3 linked regions of the Macaca mulatta genome follow. The protein of the gene in region 1 purifies or fractionates together with the protein of each later gene. This does not show direct contact. Links are inferred from orthologs where the notes say so. Each region holds a gene or a part of one and is shown in the gene's direction. Other genes may lie near its edges.

The links. The genes of interacting proteins can lie anywhere in the genome.
Region 2: the proteins of DTL (region 1) and COPS5 purify together in Homo sapiens (affinity purification with mass spectrometry; 6 studies listed by BioGRID and IntAct, with this or other methods). This does not show direct contact. The link is inferred for Macaca mulatta from reciprocal best matches to the Homo sapiens genes DTL and COPS5.
Region 3: the proteins of DTL (region 1) and CUL4A purify together in Homo sapiens (affinity purification with western blotting; 15 studies listed by BioGRID and IntAct, with this or other methods). This does not show direct contact. The link is inferred for Macaca mulatta from reciprocal best matches to the Homo sapiens genes DTL and CUL4A.

Annotation. Positions count from the first base shown.
Region 1 is NC_133406.1:69,805,707-69,809,919, forward strand, and holds part of DTL (denticleless protein homolog), read left to right. Parts: intron 1-2,462; coding exon 2,463-2,575; intron 2,576-4,213. UniProt on the Homo sapiens protein: Substrate-specific adapter of a DCX (DDB1-CUL4-X-box) E3 ubiquitin-protein ligase complex required for cell cycle control, DNA damage response and translesion DNA synthesis.
Region 2 is NC_133413.1:77,753,011-77,757,961, reverse strand, and holds the start of COPS5 (COP9 signalosome complex subunit 5), read left to right. Parts: upstream 1-1,731; 5' UTR 1,732-1,864; coding exon 1,865-2,007; exon of another isoform or gene 2,008-2,015; intron 2,016-4,419; coding exon 4,420-4,654; intron 4,655-4,951. UniProt on the Homo sapiens protein: Probable protease subunit of the COP9 signalosome complex (CSN), a complex involved in various cellular and developmental processes.
Region 3 is NC_133422.1:107,452,630-107,457,360, forward strand, and holds the start of CUL4A (cullin-4A), read left to right. Parts: upstream 1-1,511; 5' UTR 1,512-1,526; coding exon 1,527-1,674; intron 1,675-1,868; coding exon 1,869-1,984; intron 1,985-4,731. Other genes in the region: PCID2 (PCI domain-containing protein 2), read right to left, coding at 498-533. UniProt on the Homo sapiens protein: Core component of multiple cullin-RING-based E3 ubiquitin-protein ligase complexes which mediate the ubiquitination of target proteins. As a scaffold protein may contribute to catalysis through positioning of the substrate and the ubiquitin-conjugating enzyme.

The DNA of each region.
Region 1 (4,213 bases):
AGGTTCAAGCAATTCTTCTGCCTCAGCCTCCCAAGTAACTGGGATTACAGGTGCCCGCCACCACGCCTGGCTAATTTTTGTATTTCTAGTAAAGGCGGAGTTTCACCTTGTTGGTCAGGCGGGTCTCGAACTCCTGACTTTGTGATCCGCCCACCTCAGCCTCCCAAAGTGCTGAGATTACAGGTGTGAGCCACCGTGCCGGTCCAGAACTTGTCATTTTAGCTGAGATCTTAAAGAAGTTTCCAAAGGTCACTCCAAGCAATCTTATTAGGACTTTAGTATTGGTGGCAGTATCATAGTCGGCATTTCTGATGCTTTGCACTGGGTCTGATTTTCTCTAAGCAAGAGCAATAATGTTTAGAAAAGGGAAGAGGTGTTTCTTTAATGCTTTCTTAATGCTTTCCTTAATGGAATCTGAGCTTGGAGAACTGCTAATTTAGTTAATCAAAAATCTTTCCTTGAAAGATAAAACCTAATCCTGATTATATTATCAGATGTACAAGAGCTCTTTCTATATAATTTTTGCTGCAGTGTGGCACTGAAAAGGGCCTTGAGTTTAGTGTCCTGCCGTCAAACACTTCGCTAATGATTTAGTAAACCTTTTGTGTGCTTCTATTTAATTTCATTTGCTCAGATGGATAGATAGGTAAATAGATTAATAGATCAATTTGTTCCTTAAAAATTGAATGACAGCTGGCCATGGTGGCTCATACCTATAAACCCAAGCTGAGGCTGGCGGATCGCTTGACCCCAGGAGTTCAAGACCAGCCTGGGCAATATGGCAATATGGCAAAACCCCATCTTGACAAAGATGCAAAAAATTAGCTGAATGTGGTGGCATGTACCTATAGTCCTGCTACTCGGAAGGCTGAGGTAGGAGGAGGTTTGATCCTGGGAGGTTTGAGTCTTCAGTGAGCCATGATCTTGCCACTGCACTCCAGCCTGGGTGACAGAGTAAGACCCTGTCTTAAAAAAAAAAAAAAAAAATTGAATGACAACTCTGTGTGTGTGTGTGTGTATAACATCTTGTAATTACTTGTCCTTTTCAAAACTTCTGAAAGGATCTTGGATTTGATACTTGATCTACCATGCTTTGTATTTATGGTGTTATATTAAGTGATGTTCATGAGGATGACTTTGCAAGATTAAATTGAGCTCATTAAAGCCAATATGCATTTTAGGAGGATTTTTAGCAAGGTTTAAACATTTACAGTGCATATCGTACCAGCCTTTCTTAGACCAGCAGAGGGCAATAAATCCTTACAGGTATAGTGGGAAATTCAGGCTAGAGTTTTCCATTCATAGTTCAGAGTGGAGGAAGATTAAAAATTACAGTTTTAAAACAATGTTCAGAATAAAGGAGCTTGTTTATTTTGCAGTGATAATAGGTGTATACAAATTGATTCATATCCTGCCTCACTTTCACAGTAAAAATATCTGATGTGAGGAGAAATTTGCTATGCCTGCATAGCTTTTTCCTTAAAAGCTATAAATACAAAGTTCTTTTCCAGCTTTATTCTAGAAAATGGAAGAGATTCCTGTAAGCACTTATGGAAAGCTGTTAAGTCGCCTACTAATACTTTTCTCTCTGGAGTGTGATTGTTTTTTCCTGCCTAAAGGTATCCTTAAATTCTCCAAACATTGAGATTTTTCTCTTGTATTTCCTAGTAGTGTTCTAATGTCAGAGGCCTCAGGTTTTGACCTTCTTAGGATAGAAGAACCTATCAAGAACGTATGCTAGATTGGGTTACCTGCCCTTTTGCCACTGATAGTGAGAAGGCTAAACCTAATCTAGTGCCTTGCATATGAACATAGTTTACCCCACTAGCTACTTCCACCATTCAGCCTACTTAAAATGCTGGATTAAAATGATTCTCACATCCCAGATAAGCTAGTAGTAAGTTTTAACCAGAACTCAAATGATACTTTTCACTGTTTTGTTTGTTTGTTTGTTTGTTTGTTTCCTATTCATGGAACAAATGTTTGAGGATCTACTCTGTTCAAAGCACTATAAAATCTAGTGAAGAAAAAGTAAGACATAAAATTTATCCTCAAGAGTCTTGAAGTATAAGGGGAAATTAGATGAATATATTATGCAATGGAAGAAATCCTACCCTGGGCTGGAGAGAGAGGGTCTTATAAAGGTGTTTTACTGTCAGTTGCACGTTGGCTGCATTCTTTTTTTAAGAAATGTTTTCATCAAATTTTTTTCTCTTGATATCGCCATTTTCATACCAAGTATTCAGACTGAGTTCATGAGATTGGATCTAATCTAAAGCCTCTTTCTAGGGTTTTGTTTTTCTGCCAGTGTCCAGTTCCCTTGTATTTCATGGATAAAGCTAGACCATCTGCTTCAATAGGCAATACAGTGATAAAACTTGCTAGAATATATATGCTGTCTATATCCATTTGACCACTAGAAATAACGAGAGCCAAGTAATTTGTTTTTTTTCCTCTGGCAGTGGCTATTTTCAATGGACACCAGAACTCTACCTTTTATGTAAAATCCAGCCTTAGTCCAGATGACCAGTTTTTAGTCAGTGGCTCAAGTGATGAAGCTGCCTACATATGGAAGGTAAGCTGCTAACCTTCACCCACAAATGTTAGACTGAAGTATTCTTGCAAATATTTGTTCTGTCCAATATGAGGTAAGTTTAATGTAACCACATACTCTACTATTCCTACGTCAGATATTTAGTAAAGGTTGCTCTTGGCTCTTAATATAGCTGAAACCTTACTCTGCTACAGAATGTATGACACTTTCAGGGCCATAGCTTGTCAGAAATTGACAATTTGTATCCTCTGTTTCACAAATGATTAGGAATTGAGAATTCAGAGGGTAGTAAGAACCTTAACTACTTTGTTCCTGCATCCTGGAAAATATGCTGTACTGACTTTCTGCCCTGTGTTTTCAAACTCTCGTTCAGAATACAGTATTTTGATCCTTAGGATCCTGTGTTTGAATCACCCATGGAGCCTTGCACAAAACAGAAACTCAAAACTATTTGTGTGATTAATTTAATCTTTATTCTCTTGTTACAAGTAGCTGATCTTCAGGCTACAAGTAGATATGGCTGCTTTCTCCGATTTTTATATATTTAATAGCATTATTTAATAATCTTTTTTTTTTTTTTTTTTTTTTTTTGGGGATGGAGTCTCGCTCTGTCACCCAGACAGGAGTGCAGTGGCATGATCTCGGCTCACTGCAAGCTCCGCCTCCCAGGTTCATGCCATTCTCCTGCCTCAGCCTCCCAAGTAGCTGGGACTACAGGCGCCCGCCACCACGCCCGGCTAATTTTTTCTGTAGTTTTAGTAGAGATGGGGTTTCAACATGTTAGCCAGGATGGTCTCAATCTCCTGACCTCATGATCTGCCCAAGTCGGCCTCCCAAAGTGCTGGGATTTCAGGGTGAGCCACCACACCTGACCAATAATCTTTTAATTAACTTTTTTTAATAACAGTAATTCTAAAGTGTCTACTGTAAGCTAAGAAATTTAAAGCTGTCCATTTGAAGCCCAGTGGAGAAAATAAAAATATTACACAACAGGTAGCACTTATTACTGAAAACTGTCTCTTGAAGGAATAATTAATTATGGAAATGTTCTGGGAATTCAGAGAACAATCATTAACGCATTGTTTACCCATGACTAAGAATTAGTTATCTTCTAGATCTCCCTGTAACTTCATTAATGTCTTTGACATTGGTGAATTGAATGATTAGAGTTCACATATTTTGGGTTTTAAAGTCATAACGTCTAAAACTTCATAGATCCCATAGTTTTGATAGTATCAAACCCTTCTCAAGAGAAAGTTGTATCATTCTTTATCCTGCCAAGCTCTAGAAAGTAATATTGCTAATTTTTTTTAGGACGGGGTAAAACCTGTTTAGTATGAAGCATAATTCTTCAGCTTAATTTCTTCCAGTCCTGAGGGAAGTACAAAAAAAAGTGGTTTCTATATAACTAGAGTTGCGAAAATGCAACACTGCTTTATTAAAATTTTAGTGACAACATCCTAAATAGTCACAAGGTGGAGATATTGCTCTATCTAAGATGCTTCTATGCTGGGCCTGCCTTTTTCTACAAGCATATTTCTTTCGTTATATTTTTAAATGAAAATTTGCCTATAAAATATATACTTGAGACTCCACCACAAGATGGAGTTTCCTTTTTAGAGTATTCTTCTTACTTGAGATTTTAACTTTAACAATATT
Region 2 (4,951 bases), on another chromosome or scaffold:
CAGCAAGCTGTGGTGTGGATTCGATAATTCCAATGTTTTTGTCTTAACTGATTATTACAACGCATTGTAACAGTTACAGAAGCACCTACAGAGACTTAAGAGACATCATGGAAGGAATGGTCATTGGAGTGTCAAGAAAGAGTTCGTGGTCGATCTCACTGGACTGTATTTTTAAAGATTAATATGAGTTCCCAGGCAGAAAATGTAGGAAAGAGCATTTCAAGCAATGCTGACCACATATGCAAAGCCAAAGGAAATATATTTGCATTGCTAGAACGAAAAGTTTCAGGGGGGACTAAAGAGAGATGAAGCTGGAAGAGGTGCGTAGGGGCCAGGTTGTTAACAGCTGTGGTGCTATCTTTTCTTTTTTCTTTTTCTTTTCTTTTCTTTTTTTTTTGAGACTGGCTCTGTCTCACAGGCTGGAGTGGCGCGATCTAGGATCACTGCAACTTCCGCCTCCTGGGTTCAAACGATTCTCCTGCCTCAGCCTCCTGAGTAGCTGGGTCTACAGGCGCACACCATCACGACTGGCTAATTTTTTTGTATTTTTTTAGAGACTTCACCATGTTGGCCAGGCTGGTCTCGAACTCTCGATCTCAAGTGATCCGCCCGCCTCGGCTGCCCAAAGTGCTGGGATTACAGGCGTGAGCCACTGCGCCTGGCCTGTGATGCTATCTTTTCAGGAAAGGAAAAAAAAAAAAATCTTGAACACCTATGCTAGGTGCTAGGAGATAAAACAAGGAACGCAGACCTGCTCCCTGTGTCTTGAAACTTAAAATCTTGCATGGATAGAGAAATGAGATGGAGAAAAAAGAAAACCTAAAACACGTAAACTAATTTAAAAAAATAATTGAACATTGTATTAACTGTAGGAAGAAAACAAACCAGTTGCCGAGATTAATTACGCTTTGGGAACAAATGCGGTTCACAGGAGTACCAAAGATTTAACTGTAACCTATTATAAGAACTGAGTACTGGACATTTTCAGAACAGTAATGGCACATAATTCACAGCAGTGCCAAAGATTTAACTGTAACCTATTATAAGAACGGAGTACTGGACATTTTCAGATCAGTAATGGCACATTATGCATATGTAGATGTTAATTTTTACCGACACCCAAAAAGACATGACAATAGCAATCAAGGAGTACCCACTGCCTCCTGGCATCGATAGAAAAAGCCCATCTGCAAGTTAAGTGCCAAGCCACCACGAGCCCGTTAGCTTTTACGCATGTGCAGTGAGTCATCTTGAAGTAAACTGGAATGCCATGTTTATCTTCCTCTCAACCAGCTTCCAGAACGACTTTTAGCTCAGTTGTACAACAGACGGCCTTACCCTTTAGTCTTTCAACAAACTTATCTCATTTAAGGTACCTAGACCCACACAAAAACACTTTCTGCCCTCCACATCCCACCGTTAAGGCTCCAACTACCTTTAATATGGCGGAGACCGAGCCTGCGCAGTACAAGCAGAGAAGGCAAATAACAGTTTCTGGAATAACGTTACATGCCCTTCTTCCGGTATGGAAGACTATACCATTCCCATACCCTATAATTCTGTTTGTTCTATTTCACACATACAATTTTCCGAGACAAGATGTTCTAATTTAAGTCACAAGAAGATTCGTCTCTCCCTATTCCTGTAACTGCTGCTTATATCGTCACGTCCCGGAAAGGTCCCTGTCTCTTCCCTGAATGGTCTCTACCAAGTTCACCTCCGGTTCTAGGTGTCATGGCTGCCCCGAGAGTCTAGGTAAGAGTTTGTTCCCGTGGTGCGGAGGGTCAAGGCCCACACCCGGAGACCTAGCGAGGTAAAGTTGCGTCTTGGTTGTAGAGACGACAACTTCTCCGCTTTCTCTGCAATGGCGGCGTCCGGGAGCGGTATGGCTCAGAAAACCTGGGAATTGGCCAACAATATGCAGGAAGCTCAGAGTATCGATGAAATCTACAAATACGACAAGAAACAGCAGCAAGAAATCCTGGCGGCGAAGCCCTGGACTAAGGAGTGAGGAGGTCCCTGGCGAGACGCAGGGGAGGGAAGGGTTGGCGGGAGTTTAAGAGACCCAGAGGGAGAGGGAGGTGAAAGGGGTGAAGAGCTTTCACCGACGGGGAGGGGAACAGAATATGCGCCTTGGATCTGCAAGTAGAGCCTAAGCCCTCCGCTGGGGCTTTGACTTCCCTTTCTGTCGCTTTAATCCATTTACCCCCGGATGATGTAAGGGGAGAACAACAAGCGGTGATTTAAGTTGTCACTTCTGAACGTCCGTATTGTCATATATGCCGCACACCCTGCCTTGAACCCAGTGTCGACATGCACCTTATTTGGGTCTTCAGCTATTCCCTTACTGGGGACCGCAGCTGTTTTCAGAAATCGAGTCAGCAGCTCAAGGTCTCAAAAATAGCTATGAGCTATTTTCTTTTATTTTCTTTTTTAACTAGAGGTGGGTCCTCGCTATGTCGCTCAGGCTGATCCCGAGCTCCTGCCTTCAAGCGATCCTCCCACCTTGGCCTTCCAAAATGCTGGAATTACAGGCGTGAGGCCTGGGTCTATAATAGTTTTTTGATTGCTGATAATTATTTCGGAGGCACACGGAGGCTCTACCTGGTCTCTACAATGTTACTCCATCAGTTCCTATAAGCCAGAAATTTTAAAAATAGAGCTTACGACTTTTTGCCCTTCAACAATACCCATTTTTCCCTGGGAGTGGTGACAAGTCGAGGGATCTTTACCCATAATATTTATGTTTTCCTGAGAGCATCTCCTGAGAGATTTCCTGCTCTCAGGAAAAGATAATTATTACGGGCTATGTTTGAGAGAGAGTAAAAGGAGCACAAAAGCTAATGGTTAGATAGAAATGAGAGCTGCAGTCAACAAGAGGACATACTTCTACTGCCTCACAGTTTTTTTTACAAAGCTAGCCTTGTCTCTCAGTATTCAGATTCCACAATGGTGAATTGCGGAAGCATCTAGCTAGAGATTTCCACGTCATTTAATCTTTATGACAACCCAGTACAGTATATCCATCCTTTTTTTACAAATTAAAAAACAAGCAAATACATTATGTAATTTATGATCACACTGAGATAAGTGAACTCTTAGCTGAGCAATAGTCAGACCTAAGATCAAACTTCACAGCTGTCACTAACTGGTTGACTGACCTTAGGAAATTTACTTATCCATCTTCATTTGTCATAGTATGGAAATAAGACCTACCTATTGGTATTGTCATAGAGATTAGGTGAGATAATGTATAAAAAGAGTCGTCTAGAATATATGTAATAGGAGCACAGTAACTTGTCTTTCTTCTTTTCTCCAGTAAAGGGAGAAGCCAAGATTTCGATTCATGTCTTGATTTCCAACATGAGGTCTACACATTTTTCAGCTTTTGGTTGAAATCTGGCAAAGCTTAGGAATTAAATTTGGATTCTTTCTGTGGGCAGACATCTAAAAAGGCTTTGTAGAGACGTTGACTGACTGCTCTGTAAGGCTGCTTAAGTTGCTTGGTTGTCTGCTTGTTTCTGTAGCAGGTTGTGCATTTTAGGTTTGTGTACTCTTAAATATTTGGAAACTGTCGGCCTGCTTCACTGTCTAATTGTGGCTCTAATTATATTCATCCTAGCTGTCTTGGGCTGCACTAATGAGACCAAAATGTAATTTTATTCAAGAGTTTAATTCATTGATGACCAACTCTGAAATAATGATCATAGAAGACTAGGATATTATGGCTACTTTTTAATTTGAGGCTGATATAACAGGGAAGCCCACCCTTCAACACTCTGTTCTTTGAGAGTAGGGTTAAGAGACAGGTTAATAATGCTGATAACAGCTAGCACTTATTAGGGTTCTAGTATGTGTAAGGTGCTAAGCTAAGCACTTTATATACATTATTTCATTTACTTTATCCTAATAACAATTATGACTATCCCTATTTACAGAAAAGGAAACCTAGGCATAGACATTACATGGTTGTCCCAATACCACAGCTAGGGAATGGCAATGTCAAGATTCAAACCTTAGCAGATGAATGTCAGAACCCACATTCTTAACCATTAGGCCAGAGGTTAGGCCTCAGAACAGTTAGGCACAACCATCCAAGCAGTCAGAATCCAAGATTGGGTGATTCCAGATTAATGGAGAAAAAGTCTATTGAACTGGTCATGTTACTCCCTTATTTAGCATATTAAAAAACTATTTCAGACTTTTCCCCTCCCCCAAGGGGGATGCATTGCAGGACTATAACATACTTATTGTTTCCAGCCTGCAAAAACTGTCCTTTTCTACTTTTTCTCCCCATAGTCTACACTCCCCTTCCATCGCTGTAAATTCCTTCAATACTTACTCTTTATCTTCATAAAAACTTTTCTGAAATTTTACTTTATATAAGAAATTTAATTACATTGTGATTTTGTTTTGCAGTCACCATTACTTTAAGTACTGCAAAATCTCGGCATTGGCTCTACTGAAGATGGTGATGCATGCCAGATCAGGAGGCAACTTGGAAGTGATGGGTCTGATGCTAGGAAAGGTGGATGGTGAAACCATGATCATTATGGACAGCTTTGCTTTGCCTGTGGAGGGCACTGAAACTCGAGTAAATGCTCAGGCTGCTGCATATGAATACATGGCTGCATACATAGAAAATGCCAAACAGGTAAAAATGTTGTTTCTTATAGTTTAGTAAGTGCAAGTTAGAGTCTCAAGGTGACTTTTGAGTTTCTAGACTTAAAATTATCCCCTTTATAGGAAATGTTATATTTAAATTTTAATGATTTATATGTAAAATGTACGAGATTAAAAGCCTGATAAGATTTATAGCATGGTTTTTTGTTTTTGTTTTTTGTGTTTTTTTTTTTCAAGACAGGGACTCGCTCTGTTGCCCAGGCTAGAGTGCAGTGGCGTGATCTTGGCTCACTGCAACCTCCACCTCCTGGGCTCAAGCAATTCTCCC
Region 3 (4,731 bases), on another chromosome or scaffold:
TGAAGGGCGTTAAAACACAGCGAAGACCAGGGACACCAGCCCGGCCTGAAACACCGCCACAGCCTCGCGCTTACCCCTCCATCGCCTCCTGGAGTCCCCGAAGTCATCCCGCATCCTGCTGGGAAGCAGCGTCCACCCGACACAGCACCGCCCACACCGGGCCCTTGGCGCGGCTCGCAGGCCCTTCGGGCCCCCTGGGGGCGCGGCCACACACGCCAGCAATGAGGGCAGTGACCTGGAGCCCCCGCGTCTACTTACACCGCGACAACTCCGCGATCCACGGACACCGCCCGGCCCCCACGGCGGCCCTGCAGGGGAGCCCCGGCCGCCGCTGTTCGGCCTTTCAGTCGGCTCGCGCCGCTGCCCGCCGGGGACCCGGACAGAGGACAGGGGGCGAGGCGCGAAAGGAAGACGCCTGAGGGTCCAAGGCAGGAGGGGACACACGGAACACGCCGAGGGCCAGCCACACCGCCGCGCGCTCCCCGGCTAGGACCCACCTGCTGCAGGTACTGGTTGATGGTAATGTGTGCCATGGCAGCGCCGCCGAGCACAGAGCGCCACCCCCTACACCCCAAGCGGGACAGCTGGCGTCACTTCCTGCCCTCGGTCCGTCTGGGTCCCGGAGCCCCCGACCCCGTCTCCTGTGCGCAGGGTGGTTCCGGAGGGAGAATCCAGGGACCGGCTCGGCGACACGCTCGGGCTAAGGGGTCCCGGGGTCTTTCTGTCGGGCCCCCGTCCTCTCAGCCGGGACGCCAGCGACTCTGATTGTGTGTTCGGGCCCGCCCGGGCTGAGGGGTTTGGGGTCCAGTGGCGAGAACAGCCCCACTGCTAAAGTGCCTTTCACTGCGCTGTCCCCTCGACTGCCCCTTGTGAAAACGAGGCCGCGGATCACGCTCCGCGCCGGGCTGGGCCAGGGACTCGGGACGCGCGCGCCCGAGCGAGGGTGGAGGGGAGGGACATGGCGCGCGCTCCCGAGCTCTCATAAGGTGCCTCCGCCGCGCGCTCCCGAGACTTCAGAAGTTGGGGCACGTCCCGGCGCGCACCCCCAAGCCCTCGAGGTGGTCTCACGCCCCGGGTGCGGGTGCCGAACCCTCAGGAGGAGCGCTCCCTGGGGCCCTCAGGAGGGGGTCCCGGCTCCCGAGCCCCTCAGGAGGGGGCCCCCGGCACGCACCCCCGAGCCAGGAGGGGGTACCCAGAGCCCCGGGGGTGTCCCGGTGCGCCCCCCGGAACCGGGGCTGTCCCGATCCCTCGGGGGCGGGGGTGGGGGTCCCGGCGCGCGCCCTCGAGCCAGGAATGGGTGTCCGAAGCTCTTAGGGGGGGTCCGATCCCTCAGGAGGGGTTCCCAGCGCGCGCCCCTAAGGGCTCAGCAGTAGCCGGGCGCGGCGGCGGTTGGACTCGGGCACGCGGGCGGGGCGGGGCGGGGCGCGCGAGGAGGACTGGGCGGAGGCCGCGCGGACCGGGGCGGGCGGAGCGGAGCTGGGCGGGCGGCGGCGCTCGGGGCGGGGCGCGGCGGTTCCGGCCCAGCCATGGCGGACGAGGCCCCGCGGAAGGGCAGCTTCTCGGCGCTCGTGGGCCGCACCAACGGCCTCACCAAGCCCGCGGCCCTGGCCGCCGCGCCCGCCAAGCCGGGGGGCGCGGGCGGCTCCAAGAAGCTGGTCATCAAGAACTTCCGAGGTGGGTGCGGCGGCCGGGTCGAGGGCCGGGCGACCCCAGCGGGCCCCACGAGACCCCGCCCGCCCTGGGGGGAAGGCCCGAGATCCGTACGGGCCTCTTGAGCGCGGGCGCTGGGGCGCCGGCCGGGTCGGGGGTGGCGACGCGGGGCGCTTCGCGGCGCGCCCTGAGCCGCCCGCTCTCTCTCCGCCCTGCAGACAGACCCCGGCTGCCCGACAACTACACGCAAGACACGTGGCGGAAGCTGCACGAGGCGGTGCGGGCCGTGCAGAGCAGCACCTCCATCAGGTACAACCTCGAGGAGCTCTACCAGGTGAGGCGGCGGCCGAGGCTGGGGGCGCCGCTCCTGCCCCGCGTGACGCAGACGCGGCCGGGCGGCCGCTCCGGGTGCCTCGCAGGCTCTCGCCGGGGAGCGGAAAGGCAGGGCGTTTGCCTCCACTGCAGGGCCGGGAGCCCCAGAGGCAACAAGTGGTTTTGTTTATTGCCGTGGTGGAATTTTTGTTTTCAGGCTTAAGCTGCTTAGAACGATTCTTAAAGTTATCCCATTACCGAAGAGAAGGAGGTGTGTTTCTAGGAGCCACGTGACTCATATTTTGCAAGTATACAGCAAATTATTTCTCTCGTTATAAATAAAACTGTTAGTACTGTGTCACTTGCCACAGTAATAGGGTTTTTTCTCTGTTGTGTTTTGTGATTAATGGTTCCCTTTAAGATATTCAGATTTTGAAAAACTTCAAAATTCAAAAACAGTGCTTTTCTTCTCTGTTTTGTGATCAGTGGTTGCCTTTAAGATATTCAGATTTTGTAGCGTTTAATTCAAAGTGATGGTGTTCCATTTATAAAGTAACAAAAAATGGCTAAAAGTGCATTTTACCGTACTTGGATATTTTATTTACATGCGGATGTTTTTTTCTGGCGTCGTCTTTTTGTAAAACAACGTTCATTAAGTAGTCTGATATCTACATTTTGGGTCACGATGTGTCATACACTTATTTCTGTGAAAATACTTGAATTAAAAAAATTCTTTTCTGGATATGCAAGTGACTGCATTGTAAAAATTATAAAAAATATATAAAAGAAGACTTCAATCACCTATACTCCTACCACCCAAAGAAAACTGTTGACAGTTTGGTGTACATACACATCCATTCTTTGTCTGAAGTGTAAGTGAGTTATGTTTTCTTGTCAGCTTTGAGATACAGTCTACATATAATATGCACTCCAAGAAGTTTTAACAGATGTATATATACCGTTATGTAACCGGCACCATGGTCAAGATAGACTCTTCTTGGTAGAAAGGTAGAATATTTTTACCACCCCCGAAATTGCCATGACCACTTTTGCAATCAGCCCTCTCCCCTGACTCCTAACCCTTGGCAGTCCCCCATTTGCTTTCTGTCGCTATATTTTGTCATTTCCAGAACGTTATCTAAATGCAGTCATCTATTTTGTAGTGTCTGGCTTCATTCACTTAGGACAGTGCTTTTGAGATTCATGTGCACGCAATGTGATTGTAACTTGTTTATTACCTCATAGAATGGGTATACCACAGTTATTTTCTCCATTCATCAGTTAATGGACATTTGAGTGTCCATGTTTGGGGTTTTTTATTTGTTTCTTTGAGATAGAGTTTCACTCTTGTCACCCCAGGCTGGAGTGCAGTGGCGCGATCTTGGCTCACTGCAACCTCGCAGATTGAAGCGATTCCCCTGCCTCAGCCTCCCAAGTAGCTGAGATTACAGGCACCCGCCACCACACCTGGCTAATTTTTGTATTTTCACCATGTTGGTCAGGCTGGTCTCAAACTCCTGACCTCAGGTGATCCGCCTGCCTTGGCCTCTCAAAGTGTTGCGATTACAGGCGTGAGCCCCTGCACCGGCCTTGGGTTGTTTTAAATAAAGCTGCTGTGAACATCTGTGAATGACCCTTTGTTTGGACATACATTCTTATTCCTCTCAGGTAAGTTCTGCTTACTTCTTTATCTAGAAGTAAGTTCTCAAGGGTCATATGGAAAATATATGTTTACCTTTTTATGAAATTTCTTGTTTTTCACAGTGGCTGCCCCTTTTGTGCCTCTCCCAGCAGTGTATGGGAGTTCCAGTTCCAGTCCGCCACCAGCATGTGGTGTCCTCAGCCTATAATTTTAGCTGCGCTAGTGGGTGTGTGGTGGAGTGTCGCTGTGGTTTTAGTTTGCATTTCCCTCTGATGTGAAGCATCTTCATATTTACTTGCCATTCTATGTATCTTTTTAGACGAAGTGTCTATTTAAATATTTTGCTCATTTTTGTTGTGTTGGTTATTTTCTTACTATTGAGTATTTGAGTTTATTAAGTATTCTGGATACAAGTCCTGTATCAGATATTCGCCTTACAAATACTTTCTCCCTAGTCTTCAACTTGTCTTTTGATTCTCTTAATTGTGCCATTTGAAGAGTAATAGTTTTAAGTTTTCAGGTCACATGTATCAGTTTGTTCTTCTATGGACTGTACTTTTAGTATCCAAGAAATCTTGCCTAATCTAAGGTCACAAAGTTTTCTCTTATATTTTCTTCCAGACATTTGAGAGTTTTAGGTTTTACATTTAGGTCTATGATCTATGTAGAGTGAATTTTTGTATATATTGTGAAATATAAATCTAGAGTCAGAGCGGGTGCAGTGGCTCATGCCTGTAATCCCAGCACTTTGGGAGGCCAAGGCGGGTGGATCACCTGAGCACTCAGGAGTTTGAGACCAACCTGGCCAACATGGTGAAACCCCATCTCTGCTAAAAATACAAAAAATTAGCCGGGCGTGGTGGCAGGCGCCTGGAATCCCAGCTACTCGGGAGGCTGAGGCCAGAGAATCGCTTGAACCCGGGAGGGAGAGGTTGCAGTGAGCCGAGGTTGTGCCACTGCACTCCAGCCTGAGCAACAGAATGAGACTCCATCTCAAAAAATAAACAAACAAACAAAAAATCTAGAGTCAGTATTTTCCTTGCAAATGTCCAGTTTTTCAGCCTCTTTTCCCCTACTGAATTGCCTTTGTTCCTTTGTCAGAAACCATGTAGGAGTAGGTGGAGTGA